Nothobranchius furzeri: one gene and its partners. The protein of the gene in region 3 interacts with the protein of the main gene of each other region in a pairwise test. Links are inferred from orthologs where the notes say so. Each region holds a gene or a part of one and is shown on either strand. Other genes may lie near its edges.

Region 1 (4,508 bases), on a different chromosome or scaffold from region 3:
TTGGCTCACACGCTGGGGGCGGAAACCTTTCAAGCGCGAGGAATCTGACGCCATTTTGGATCTTCACAGTACGTCAGCCTCTTGTTACAGTAAACCCCATCACTGCACCAATATGGCTGAAACCCCGTCGTAGTTTCCAGCACAAGAGACAACTCTCCATTATGCAGTTGGAGGAGTAAGAAAAGGAAATGGAGTTCGGGCACTGGGTGAACTCGTTTTAATATCCTTCGACATCCATACTGTTGTTGTTTTTCTTTTTAAAACGTAAATCAGAATATTGTGAACGTGGCATCATTCAAATTTTTATGCACTTAAGAAGTTGAAACAATACAATTTCTAAAAAAAAAGTAGCAATACAATTTCTAAAGAAGTAGCAATAATTTGTTAAATTCTTATGTGATCTTTCAATTTATATTTCTTTCAAATGCAAAAAAGCACTTTTTAGTCTTAGATTTCCTATCCCAAAAGAAATGATCTAAGCAGCGCTCTGATAAATGGCACAATCTTGTCGCTTTACAAGAGTTTGTGTTTAGGAGATGAAGTTAGCGGATAAACGGAGCGTTCCGGTGCAAAATTGAACGTATCCGCAAAGGGATGATACGAGAAATCCTATTGGTTCGAGGAAAACGTCTCTCTACTTATTGGGTTTTCACATGCCATTCACACTGACCCGTACGTGTGTCATTGGACTATGTAGTTGTTTACAACCGCGGTGGGAAATAAAACATTAGTTTATGTTTTCTGGGTACTAAACACGTTATAAGCTAAATTACCCGACTGTAGCTACTGAAGAGGAGTGTCGTCGTAAAACTTAAGTAGTGTTATAATAATTTAGAACAACATATATTTTTTAGAAATTAACAAATAAAACACATAAAAATAATAAAATCCACTCATTTGTGTAAATGAAGACAAACGCGCATTTACATTATTTCTCTGGTTCAAGCGATCCATAGAGTATTCTTGAACAAGGTCGCCATCTGGTGGATGGTTGTAAATCAACACCTTTCATCGATATAGATAATTATTCTAAGATATTCACTTTTAAATGATGGAGTTTAAAATATTGCTTTTTTCGTGCTATTTGTTTGCTATTTGTGTAATAATAGCAAACACTCAAACTTACACACGAATAATTTTTCACGTTTTTTAGCTCTTGGTACCAATATGAAGCTTTTTTCTTCATCCATGTAAAATCTCAGAAAGAGTGTTATTTCCTATTTCAAATTAACACATTTTTCTAAATGTTCTAAAATACGATTCAACACTGAAATAATATGAAATAATAACCTTAGAATAATTAAACAGAATATACTGTATTTGAAAGTACACTATATTGGTTAAATTTCTATATATTTTTTCTTCTGGAACTATGTGTAGACATTATGTGATTCTGAAACACTTGTCACAGCAAATTCTTAATGTCAGGCTTTTCAGAACTGGTTTTCAAAACAAAAATCCCAACACTTAGACTGGTTAACAAACAAGATATAGATATTTATTTTCTTCAGGTTAATTTTTTACGTAATTGTTGATTTAAAAGCTGCATTTTCAAAGATTTTAACCACTTTTTATTAAATGAAAATATACATGACACTTTGTGCCCACTGGGTGGCACTGGTTCCCCGTTACCTGGTTAAGAACTTCCGATATAAACCAACGAAGAGCAGTCGCCGTTGACTTACGTAGCATGATGCTAGCTCCAAGGTTGGGGGTAAACAAACGTTCCTTTAACATTTCTGAGCTTCACTAAGGATTGCTGTTATGGGACTGCTACTAGTCAGTTCATGTTCACATTGACTCGTAAAAAACACCATGTCGGCCATGTTGTTACCGCACAGCACGGCTGTTTGTAGAAGGCGCAGCAGATGTTTATTCCTGTCGCTATCAAAGCGTAACTCTCATGCTTTTGCAAGCAAACTCATCAACACCCATAGCGGCAAAAATGTGCTGTCAAGGTGTGTTAACGTGGGTAAGACGCTTGTTTCAAGCTCAGAGGGGGCTCTGACAAGTCGCACACAGAGTAAACTCATCCAGGTAAGCAGAAACATTTGTAGATTTTTAAAAGAAAACTAAAAAGCTGGTTTCTTTTTGTGGTCTTGGCTAATCCTATTCCTTAATAGTGATCCTGACCTTTAAATATGATCTTAATCTGTTTTTTTCCAAGATGATTATTCTCAATAGAAAGCGATTTTGTTATTCTCTGGTAACATATAACTGTTATCTGCTCTGCTCTCAGCAGTTTTAACTCCATTCTCATGTTTCAGAGTCTTCTTCACAGACCTTTAGGATCTAGCATGGTGGGACTTAGCAAAGAGTTAATCAGGAACAACCTACTGAGAAATCCAGTTGGTTTGATTAATCTATTAGGTGATTATCAGTCCCATTTCCACCATGAATATATTTATGTTCCAGTATTAACACTGTGTCTAAAACCGTTTTAATCTTAGGAGCAACGCACTTTTTCAGTGCGTCTCAGTCTCAACGACAGAACGATAAAAGTTCTGGATCAAAGGGAAAAACTCCACAGGAAGATGAAGGTAAAAATCCACCATGAGTAGTTTTTTTTCCCGCTTTTCTCTTCCTTTGATCCCGTTGATGTCACATTTTACATTTTAGAAGAGAAGAAGCGGCGTGAGCAGGAGGATCAGATGTACCGCGATCGCCTGCGCACTCTCTTCATCATTGCACTCATCATGAGCCTACTGAACTCCATCAACACCAGCGGTGGGAACATCTCCTGGAACGACTTTGTCAACGAGATGTTGGTCAAAGGAGAGGTGTCCCGTGTGCAGGTGGTTCCTGAGAGCGACATCGTGGAAATTTATCTTCACCCGGGGGCCGTTATCTTTGGAAGGCCTGTAAGTGGCGTGGGAGTTTGTGCAAAGTGAAAAGCCAAAGAGCAAACGAGACATGCATGCTAACGTCTGATCTGCTTCACGTGTCTTCCTCTGCAGAGGCTGGCCCTCATGTACAGGATGCAGGTTGCTAACATAGACAAGTTTGAGGAGAAGCTGAGAGCAGCAGAGGAGGAGCTGAACATTGACGTTAAAGATAGAATCCCGGTGTCCTACAAACGCACGGGATTCTTTGGGAAGTACGAAACTGAACCTCTTCTTCAAACAGGAGTTTGATTCAGACAGGTTTTTGGTCTGGGCCAGTTAAATTGAGCAACATTATTTTTTATTTTATTTTTTTATCTCCTGCCAACCGTTTGAAATGTGACCAGTTGTAACATTTTGATAACGTTGTCTCTTCGCAGAACCATCTATGCTCTGGGGATGGCTGCTGTAGGCGTAGCTATTCTCTGGTACATCTTCCGACTAGCAGGCATGGTTGGCAGGGACGGCGGCTTCAGCGCTTTTGTGAGTAAAAAAACCCAACAAGAGCTGTTGTCTTTACTTAACAGCAGACTAACCATGTATTATAACAAACCCCGCAGAATCAGCTGAAGATGGCCAAGTTCACTATTGTAGACGGGAAATCGAGTAAAGGCGTGAGCTTCAAGGATGTAGCGGGACTGCATGAAGCGAAGATGGAAGTAAAAGAATTTGTCGATTACTTAAAGGTCAGAAACCACACTTGAACTTTCCACTAGTGTTTGTTTGACTCTTGTGAAGCAAACAGTGGATATGTAATACAATAATGTGTAAATAAACTCGTTACGTGTTGGCAGAGTCCAGAGCGGTACCTGCAGCTGGGAGCCAAAGTTCCCAAAGGTGCGTTGCTGCTTGGACCTCCTGGATGTGGCAAAACCCTGCTAGCGAAGGCCGTAGCTACGGAGGCTCAGGTTCCCTTTCTGGCTATGGCCGGCTCTGAGTTTGTGGAGGTCATAGGAGGTGAATAAAAACCATAACCGTAGTTGAGCCGGTGGCGCTCACACCCACAGCTAGGCTTCGTCGCACACAGCAGCTTTTGTCAACGTGAGATGCGTCGTGACTCGTGTTGTTTGTGCGCAGGTCTCGGCGCCGCCAGGGTCCGGAGTCTGTTCAAAGAGGCTCGCGCTCGAGCGCCGTGCATCGTCTACATCGATGAGATCGACGCCGTAGGAAAGAAGCGCTCCACCAACATGTCGGGTTTCTCCAACACCGAAGAGGAGCAGACGCTCAACCAGCTGCTGGTGGAGATGGACGGTGAGCAGAGCCGCCAGATCCCACACATCAGATGAAAGGATGAATCGTTCAAATCCACCTCCTCTTCTCTTTCGGCAGGCATGGGAACCACAGACCACGTCATAGTCCTCGCCTCCACCAACAGAGCAGATATTCTGGACAATGCTCTGATGAGACCAGGCAGACTGGACAGACACATCTTCATCGATCTGCCCACTCTGCAGGTCGTTCTAGTGACACCGATTTCATCTTATTGTCCTCAGTGTCAGTCCATCACTTCCTAAAGCTAAAAACGAATATACGCCCCTCCAAAAACTTGCATCCACGCCACCTCGTTTTAAAAAGAAACTCTGTCCACACGTACCCGGATAAATACGTTGTTAAGGACATGCCAGA
Region 2 (4,254 bases), on a different chromosome or scaffold from region 3:
ACCAAGTGTGTCGTAAAAGCCTGTTTCCTTAACCATGTTTGACTTTGACAGATGTTTCTGTTCAATTAAAAGTAGAATCAGTTGTAATAAATTTGACATTTACTACAAAAAAACTTACATTAACACCTTCACAAACATACCTAACGAAGACGCACGTAAGTTAATAGTGTAAAGAATTAGATTTTCTTGCAAGATTGTGAAATATGTTATTTTAATGCAAATGCATTTAACTAACTATTTAACCTGTACTTGAATTAATATAATAATTAGTAATGACAAAAGACTTACAATCTTACCAGAACACGTTATTCAAGTTAATATAAGAATACAAATCTTAGTTTTGCTATTTAACTTTAATTAGCCAGTGAGAGCAGAAGTTTCCCGTTTACGTCGCGAGGTGTTTATATCACTCAGTATTTTTAGGTAGGAGTTAACAGAAAACAAACAGAAGAAACATAATTTGTCTTCGTCTATTGTCTGAAAACATTTAAGTGTCTTATTTTCATAAACGTTTATATGACCGTATGGCTTCCAGTTTACACAAAAAAGAAACGATAAGGCCCCATGTAGCTGCTTTAGCTAGTGGAACTGGTGTTGTGGCGAAAAAAGTTACCCTGTCATAATGCGCATTTCGTTACGGGTAGCAGTTGCTTCCGTTGAAAAACCGACACATCACTAGCCCGTTAAAAACTGAAAAAGAAAATAGCTCTGTTCATCAGCACTTTACAATAATATTATAAACAAATGTTTTGATGTAACAGAAATGTATCTATCACGCATCAGTACAGTATATAGGAGAAAACGGTGTTGATTTGGTGGCTAAAATCAAGTCTTGGTAACTAATTGTAAAATTTAAGCAAATAAAACCACGAGTTACCTTTTTTTTTAAATCATCTTTGACTTCAACACAATTTATTAAAAATGGTGAATAAAGCAGAGATGACCATCGCGAGAAGAGGCTTGATTACAGGGGTATTTTTCTCGGTACAACACCACATTAAAAATCCAACGCTATCAATGTTGTTTTCCTCTATTTGTTAGCAAAAAATTTGACCTGAGACCGGTATATACAAAATATGACTTGAAAATAGCTAATTTCCAACCTTATATGAAGACAACTAAGACCCTTTCAAGGCCAAACCGCACATCGACTGTCTTCTAGAATCTTCACCCGTGTCCCGTGCTGCGTCCAAACGTTTCGCCCCGTTACGTCACTTTTTGGCGACGAAACCGTGTGGCAACACCCCCTTTAGCCAAAACCGATGAAGAAAACAAGCGCACGCACAGAAAGAATGGCGATGCAATGCAATGGACTGTTTTGCAATTTTTTTCTGCAGAAGTGGAAAAAGTCAGTTTACTTTAAAATTTACATCTCTTGCGCTGCTCAATTTACCTTATAAACGCGGTAGGCTAGTTTATCCTACTAAAGTACTAAATCCTAAATTAAAACGGTTGTAGGATCCTGAGTTTAATTTAATGCTAAAAAAAACAAATACCGAAAAGTTCAGACTTTTTAATATTAACGTTAAATTGAAAACATTAGCCTGCACCTGATTCCTGATTTGAATGATAGTAATGAATATGTCAGTTTTCTTGCTGAGGTTGCCTCTGCTAGAAATGTCAGTGCTGTTCTTAGATGAGAAATAGAAATAGAAAAGATTGTTTGGTCCAACCTGCTTAAATAAAAACTGATTATGTGTTAATTGGAGAAAAGGGGAATATGTCATGTTGACATGTTGCAATTTATATATTTAAGCACTGGAAAATACAGGATAAGGAAACAAACAACTAAAAAAACATAACAACCACACAAATAACACTTAGAGGGCTGCTGTGTCTAAACTGAAATGATGAAATAAATGTATAGTCTTGGTTAATTTGTTGTCGTTCTTTTTAAATTTTCCATGCTGTTCCAGTCACTTTCTCCATTCATCCCGGATGTTTTGCCCCCTTAGATGATAGTCGGGCTTTAGAGAAGTTCATTTTGAAGGCGTTCTTATTTAGAAAAACACATTTGAACAGTAAAAAAAACTATGGTTATTACGCTACGAAATGTTCTAAAAAATAAAGCTCTGACAAAAACGTAAAATTCGCTTTTCTTTTGCTGAGTAACATTTGTGATAGTAATCTTGATGACGCATTTCCGGTAGATGTGGTGGTTACGTCATATTTGCTCGCCGCCGGAGAACGCTAAATGACTGATAAAATGCCAATTTGCTGGCTTATCAGTAAGAAAGGAACTCACAGACCCATCCAGCTGCCGCATTTACAGACAGTCGTGTTGGGTCGAGGCCCAGAAACGACTATCAAAGACAAAAAATGCTCCAGGCAACAAGGTAATTTCTCTATTGTCGCTGCGCCTCATTTGTAATGCGTAACACGCGTGTAGTAGTTTTTTTTTACATTGTTTTTGTACTTAATTCGTTCAAGTTTCTTTCCTTCTAAGGATAATTAGAATCAAATTAGGTTTTTAAAAGACCTGCGTATTTTTAGACTTTTATTTTGAAGGACTAAAATAATTCAGCTGGCGCTCTGCCATTAAAGCAACTCAAAGACAGCACATCATGTAAAAATGCACCATTTACATAGTTTTCTTTCTAAATCACATTCAGAGGCCATTATGATAAAAACGTAACAAATACGGTCAGCTTCAGAAGCACAGCAGGCGTCCTCAGACCATTCCTGAACTATTCTACTTCTGGTTTATTTTAACTTTTTCTTTATGCAATTTCATAAATTTTCCTCAACCTTTCAAGTTTAATTATAATTATCCTTTTCAAAACAAAACTTTTCATTGCAGGAGTACGTGATCATATATTGTAATGTGAAAACATCAATTTACTTTTAGGATTTTCCAGGTGTATATAAATACATTGCATATTTAGCCACTTAATTTTTCTTGAATTATATATTCTAATTTTTACGCTGTAATTGGTAACTAAAGTTATGGCACTGAAGAAGACCAAAAGATCTGAGTAACAGCGTGCTCAAATATCTAAAAATGACATCCTGTTCCCCCAATTTAATTTTATTTATTTTTTATTTAAATTTGTCACTAATTAGCTTTGTGAAAATAAAAATCCTTTAACCTGTTTAACTATTATCCTTCCCAACCAGTTGAGCTGAAAGCTGAATGCAACAAAGGTTATGTGAAAGTTAAACAGGTGAGAGAGTTTGGATTACTAATTTATCAGCAACAGAAGCACAATTAATAATTATATGATGATGTTTGTTGTTAAAGTCTCAGTCTTGACAGTATTCTTTGAATATGCTTGCTGTGTGTTTAGCAGGTCTGCTCTCTGTAATAATCTGTATTTAAACTTGTCTATGAATGGCTCCAAAGCTGGGTTTAAACCCCACCTCTGTGGACTCTGCGGTGGTGGGAAAGGGCAACGAGGTGAAAATGAAGCCTGGACAGCATCTTCACGTTGTCAATCAGCTTTACCCATACACTGTCCAGTTCAAAGAAGATCTCACTGGAAACGACAAGAGAGACAGAAGACCAAGAGAGCCTACAGAAGAGGATGGAGAAAAACAGAAAAGCACTCTGACTATGAAAGCAACAATACACACAGAAAAGGATGCCGTGTCAGGCAGTCCTGTAGAAGCTACAAAAACAAATGTGAGAAGAGAGATATGTGTTTCTTTCTTGTTTTATTGTTTATTTGATCATTTTTGGACCACCTGTATTGTTGGTGGTCATTTTATTTCATGCAGATAAATGTTGTTTTCTGATATTTGCCGTAGGTAAGTGTTGGACATTGGAGCCAAGGCCTGAAGACTTCAATGCAAGACCCCAGTATGCAGGTATACAGGTACTGCAATATGGACGACTGCGTTTTCTTAAAGAGCAAGTCACCCCTACCAGATTCTTAATCAACTCTCACTTCCTGTTTGAAAAATGCAACAAATGCTGTTGCCTAGCAGACAGAGAGGGCGGAGCCGCTAACAAATACACACACACAGGCTCACAACGGCATTGTGACATCATAATGTACCAGTTTACATCATAGCATACCTCTTAGCCAATAGCCACGGCAGATTTAAATTCCAATGCAGTGCAGAGTTTTTACCCGACGACGGTGCAACACTGACAGTTTTAGGCAGAATATTTAAATTTTAACTAAAATGCACTGAAGTACCAAATTATTGACCACACATGTCTGCAGCACAATTAGACACACATTTATATAGTTTATCAGCAAAAAAACGTTGATTTGGGGGTGACTTGCTCTTTAAACATTCTTAAACTCG
Region 3 (3,007 bases):
AAACAGACACATGTGCGGTGAGTACAATTAGATGTGTTTTTGTAATTGAAATGTCTTTTTTACACTACAGTTACAAGGTCACAACACACAGATTAATCAAAAGATAAGGCAGAGAAGGAAACAAAGGGGTGTGCAAGTGTATGTGTGCAGATGTACATGTGTAGCCTGGTCTCAAATATCTATTCTAGACCCTACAGGTTAAAAGGATATAAATATTGTGTAAAGCCTTTATTGTAAATATTTCATATATTTGAAAAAACAAGGAGTTCAAATGGTTAAAAATGTGTTTAAAATCACAATAAATAGAAGTCAATCATAATTTGAGTGTTCATGGAGTTATAAGTAACAATGAAACTAAAGGTTTATCTAATGTGAAACAAGGAAAACTTTGTATTGTTTCAAGTTGTTTTACAAGTTCATTTTGGGTTGTCAATCTTGTATTTTCTTTTATCCCATTGGTTGATGTAAACCTACTGTCCAATCAGACGTAAGGGAGGCGGGAGCTAAGTGAGGCAAAAGAAAGAAAAAACAGCGAAGCTAGTGAGAGTCGGCAGCAGCACGTTGCGGGAGGAGGTTGTGTACCAGAGCTAATGGAAGAATAGTGAAATAATAGCCGTGGATGCAGAGTCTACGTTCCTGTTATGGACTGTTTTACCCTGTGATGAGTGAGTACTGAATGTGGAGTTAGCATTGAGCTTAAACGGAATGTATAAGTACTTAAAATGTATGGTGCTAATCGCGAGTTAGCATGTTAGCATTTTAGAGCCTGTAATAGCTATGTATGTCGAGTACGTAAGATACAGCTTATTCTGTGGAACTAAATAGTAATCTCTAATGCACAGTGGACCGAGAGGAATTCTCTGGACTCTTCTGCTGTGGATAGGAGTTCTGTGTGGTTGTTCCAGTGTACTCAGCAGCCCGGGTATGCCGCTAATTCCGACCACCTTGCCGAGTGGAGGCCGCATGGTCACCAACCAAGACTGCCCCTCCGTTTGCCTTGCACTTAGCCCAAAGGATTCATGAGTAGACCTGAGCACGTGTGTTTTGTTTTCTGCTGGTTATCAAGTGAAGCGGCCATTTGTTTGTTTTCTGGCCCAACGAGCCCAAGCAACGATCAGGCCTGCAACGGTTTCAGTGAATGAGCTCACAAAGGTTAAAACTGGTTAGTCATTGTTTCTCCTGTTTACCAATAAGATTAGTTAATGTACCCAGGGCCCCGCTCATAGTACTATCACCATCTTAACCGAGGGTTAATCCAGAGCTACTTGAGTTGGGTGCTACACATTTGGAGGCACCGCTGGGATTGTTGTTGTTTTATCTACATTTTAAGTTACCACTAAATCTGCTGTAACCTTAAAGTAACTAAGAGTAACACTGGTCCTAAAAAGCAACTTCAATTAATCTTTTTTTTCCCCCTACAAAGTAACTTGTTAAACTATGGCCACTAAAAGTGATGTCTCACAACCGAATCTTGCAAATTGGTGCAGAGGTGAAGGGCTCGATCAGGCACATGCCATTCTAGTTGTCGGAGTGCCTGAAGAGGAGGACCTATCCACAGTAGAAGAAACACTCGAACAAGTAAAAACCTTGGGCAAGGTAAGAGTAAGAGGAAAAATGTTTGATGCCAATAATCAAACCCTGACCATGTTATGTGAATGCTGTGAAGCAGTCGATCCTACCAAAGTTCCGCCAGAGTTGATTTCCTTTAAGGATGGAAGTAAATGGACAATAGTTGTTGCAGAGCAAGAAACGAACTCCGACCTATTCACAGAGAAGTTGGACAGATTTCTGCGTGATGAAGGGAAAACAATGGAGGATGTTCAAAGACTATGTGATCCTAGAACTCCATGGAACAGCAGCCCTGAGTCAATCATTCGGGTGGTAGGTGATGTGTTGCAGTCCAAGCCAAATGAAAGCAATTTATACCGTCGTTTTAGAATCTTCTCAGGAGTCTACCCTACTCCACCTGGTGAAGACAACTTGGATAGCTGGCTAGAACAAGTAAAGTTCATGACTGATGAGTATGAGTGCTCAGATAAGGAGAAACGCCGAAGAATTATTGAGAGTCTCAAAGGGCCAGCGCTGGAGATCATTCAAGCAGTGCGCATGTCTAATCCCCTGGCAAACCATGTGGACTGCATACAGGCATTGGAAAGTACCTTTGGTACCGCAGAATCCGGTGAGGAACTGTATCTCACATTCAGAGCTATGCATCAAAGACAAGGGGAGTGCTTGTCTAACTTCTTGCTGAGACTGGAAAGATTACTGAACAAAGTCGTGCAAAAAGGAGGCCTACAAGTAGATGAAGCCAACCGAGCAAGGCTTGAGCAACTCATTAAAGGTGCTACTGAATAAGACTTCATGCTGCTTCATCTAGGTCTTAGAGGTAAGCGAAGTGATCCCCCGACATTTTTAAGTCTACTGAAAGAAATTCGAGAAGAAGAGGAGCGTGAAGCTGCAAGACAAAAACTGAAAAAACCAGCACAGAGACAGCACGTGCATGCAGTGCAAGTAGCAAGTGAAACAGACTCCAGAGATTGTCAGCAACATGAGTTTCAGTCCGAAATTCAAGTGCTAAAAGAAAAGCTGAAAGAGCTCAGTAAGCAGTCTCATTCTACAGAGTCAAGCCACAAAAAGATGTCCAGAGAAAAGAAAAAAGAGAAATCAGACACAAGCAGCGAAGTGCAACAGTTAAGAAAAGAAGTCAAAGAGCTGAAAACACAGTTAAGTGTCATGTCGGTAACGCCACAACATTATGCAAAAGAGAGAGGGCACTATTCTAAGTTCAAAGCGGACTTCAGTCCAAAGTCATCTACCTTTAAGCCAAAGAGTAGTAAAGAGTCAGATAATTTCTGCTACAGATGTGGAGAAAATGGCCATTTTGCAAACAAATGTACAGCTCCGGAAAATGCTCAAAAGGTAATCAAAAAGCTTATTCATCAAGTGCATGGAAGCCCAAATGGACAAAGTCAAAGTACCGACGCTCAAGATCAGTGTGTTGCTCGAG

The links.
Region 1: the proteins of paraneoplastic antigen Ma1-like (region 3) and spg7 interact in binary tests that used the Homo sapiens proteins (3 or more experiments, as listed by UniProt). The two-hybrid records come from large-scale screens. The link is inferred for Nothobranchius furzeri from reciprocal best matches to the Homo sapiens genes PNMA1 and SPG7.
Region 2: the proteins of paraneoplastic antigen Ma1-like (region 3) and aptx interact in binary tests that used the Homo sapiens proteins (3 or more experiments, as listed by UniProt). The two-hybrid records come from large-scale screens. The link is inferred for Nothobranchius furzeri from reciprocal best matches to the Homo sapiens genes PNMA1 and APTX.

The regions. Positions count from the first base shown.
Region 1 is NC_091749.1:64,823,484-64,827,991, forward strand, and holds the start of spg7 (mitochondrial inner membrane m-AAA protease component paraplegin), read left to right. Parts: upstream 1-1,664; 5' UTR 1,665-1,815; coding exon 1,816-2,037; intron 2,038-2,267; coding exon 2,268-2,370; intron 2,371-2,450; coding exon 2,451-2,540; intron 2,541-2,619; coding exon 2,620-2,861; intron 2,862-2,957; coding exon 2,958-3,097; intron 3,098-3,262; coding exon 3,263-3,365; intron 3,366-3,442; coding exon 3,443-3,568; intron 3,569-3,676; coding exon 3,677-3,839; intron 3,840-3,959; coding exon 3,960-4,133; intron 4,134-4,211; coding exon 4,212-4,336; intron 4,337-4,508. UniProt on the Homo sapiens protein: Catalytic component of the m-AAA protease, a protease that plays a key role in proteostasis of inner mitochondrial membrane proteins, and which is essential for axonal and neuron development.
Region 2 is NC_091746.1:79,994,010-79,998,263, reverse strand, and holds the start of aptx (aprataxin), read left to right. Parts: upstream 1-1,410; 5' UTR 1,411-2,194; coding exon 2,195-2,336; intron 2,337-3,117; coding exon 3,118-3,164; intron 3,165-3,287; exon of another isoform or gene 3,288-3,327; coding exon of another isoform or gene 3,328-3,343; coding exon 3,344-3,622; intron 3,623-3,747; coding exon 3,748-3,807; coding exon of another isoform or gene 3,808-3,815; intron 3,816-4,254. UniProt on the Homo sapiens protein: DNA-binding protein involved in single-strand DNA break repair, double-strand DNA break repair and base excision repair.
Region 3 is NC_091745.1:26,674,233-26,677,239, reverse strand, and holds paraneoplastic antigen Ma1-like, read left to right. Parts: upstream 1-1,437; coding exon 1,438-2,355; downstream 2,356-3,007.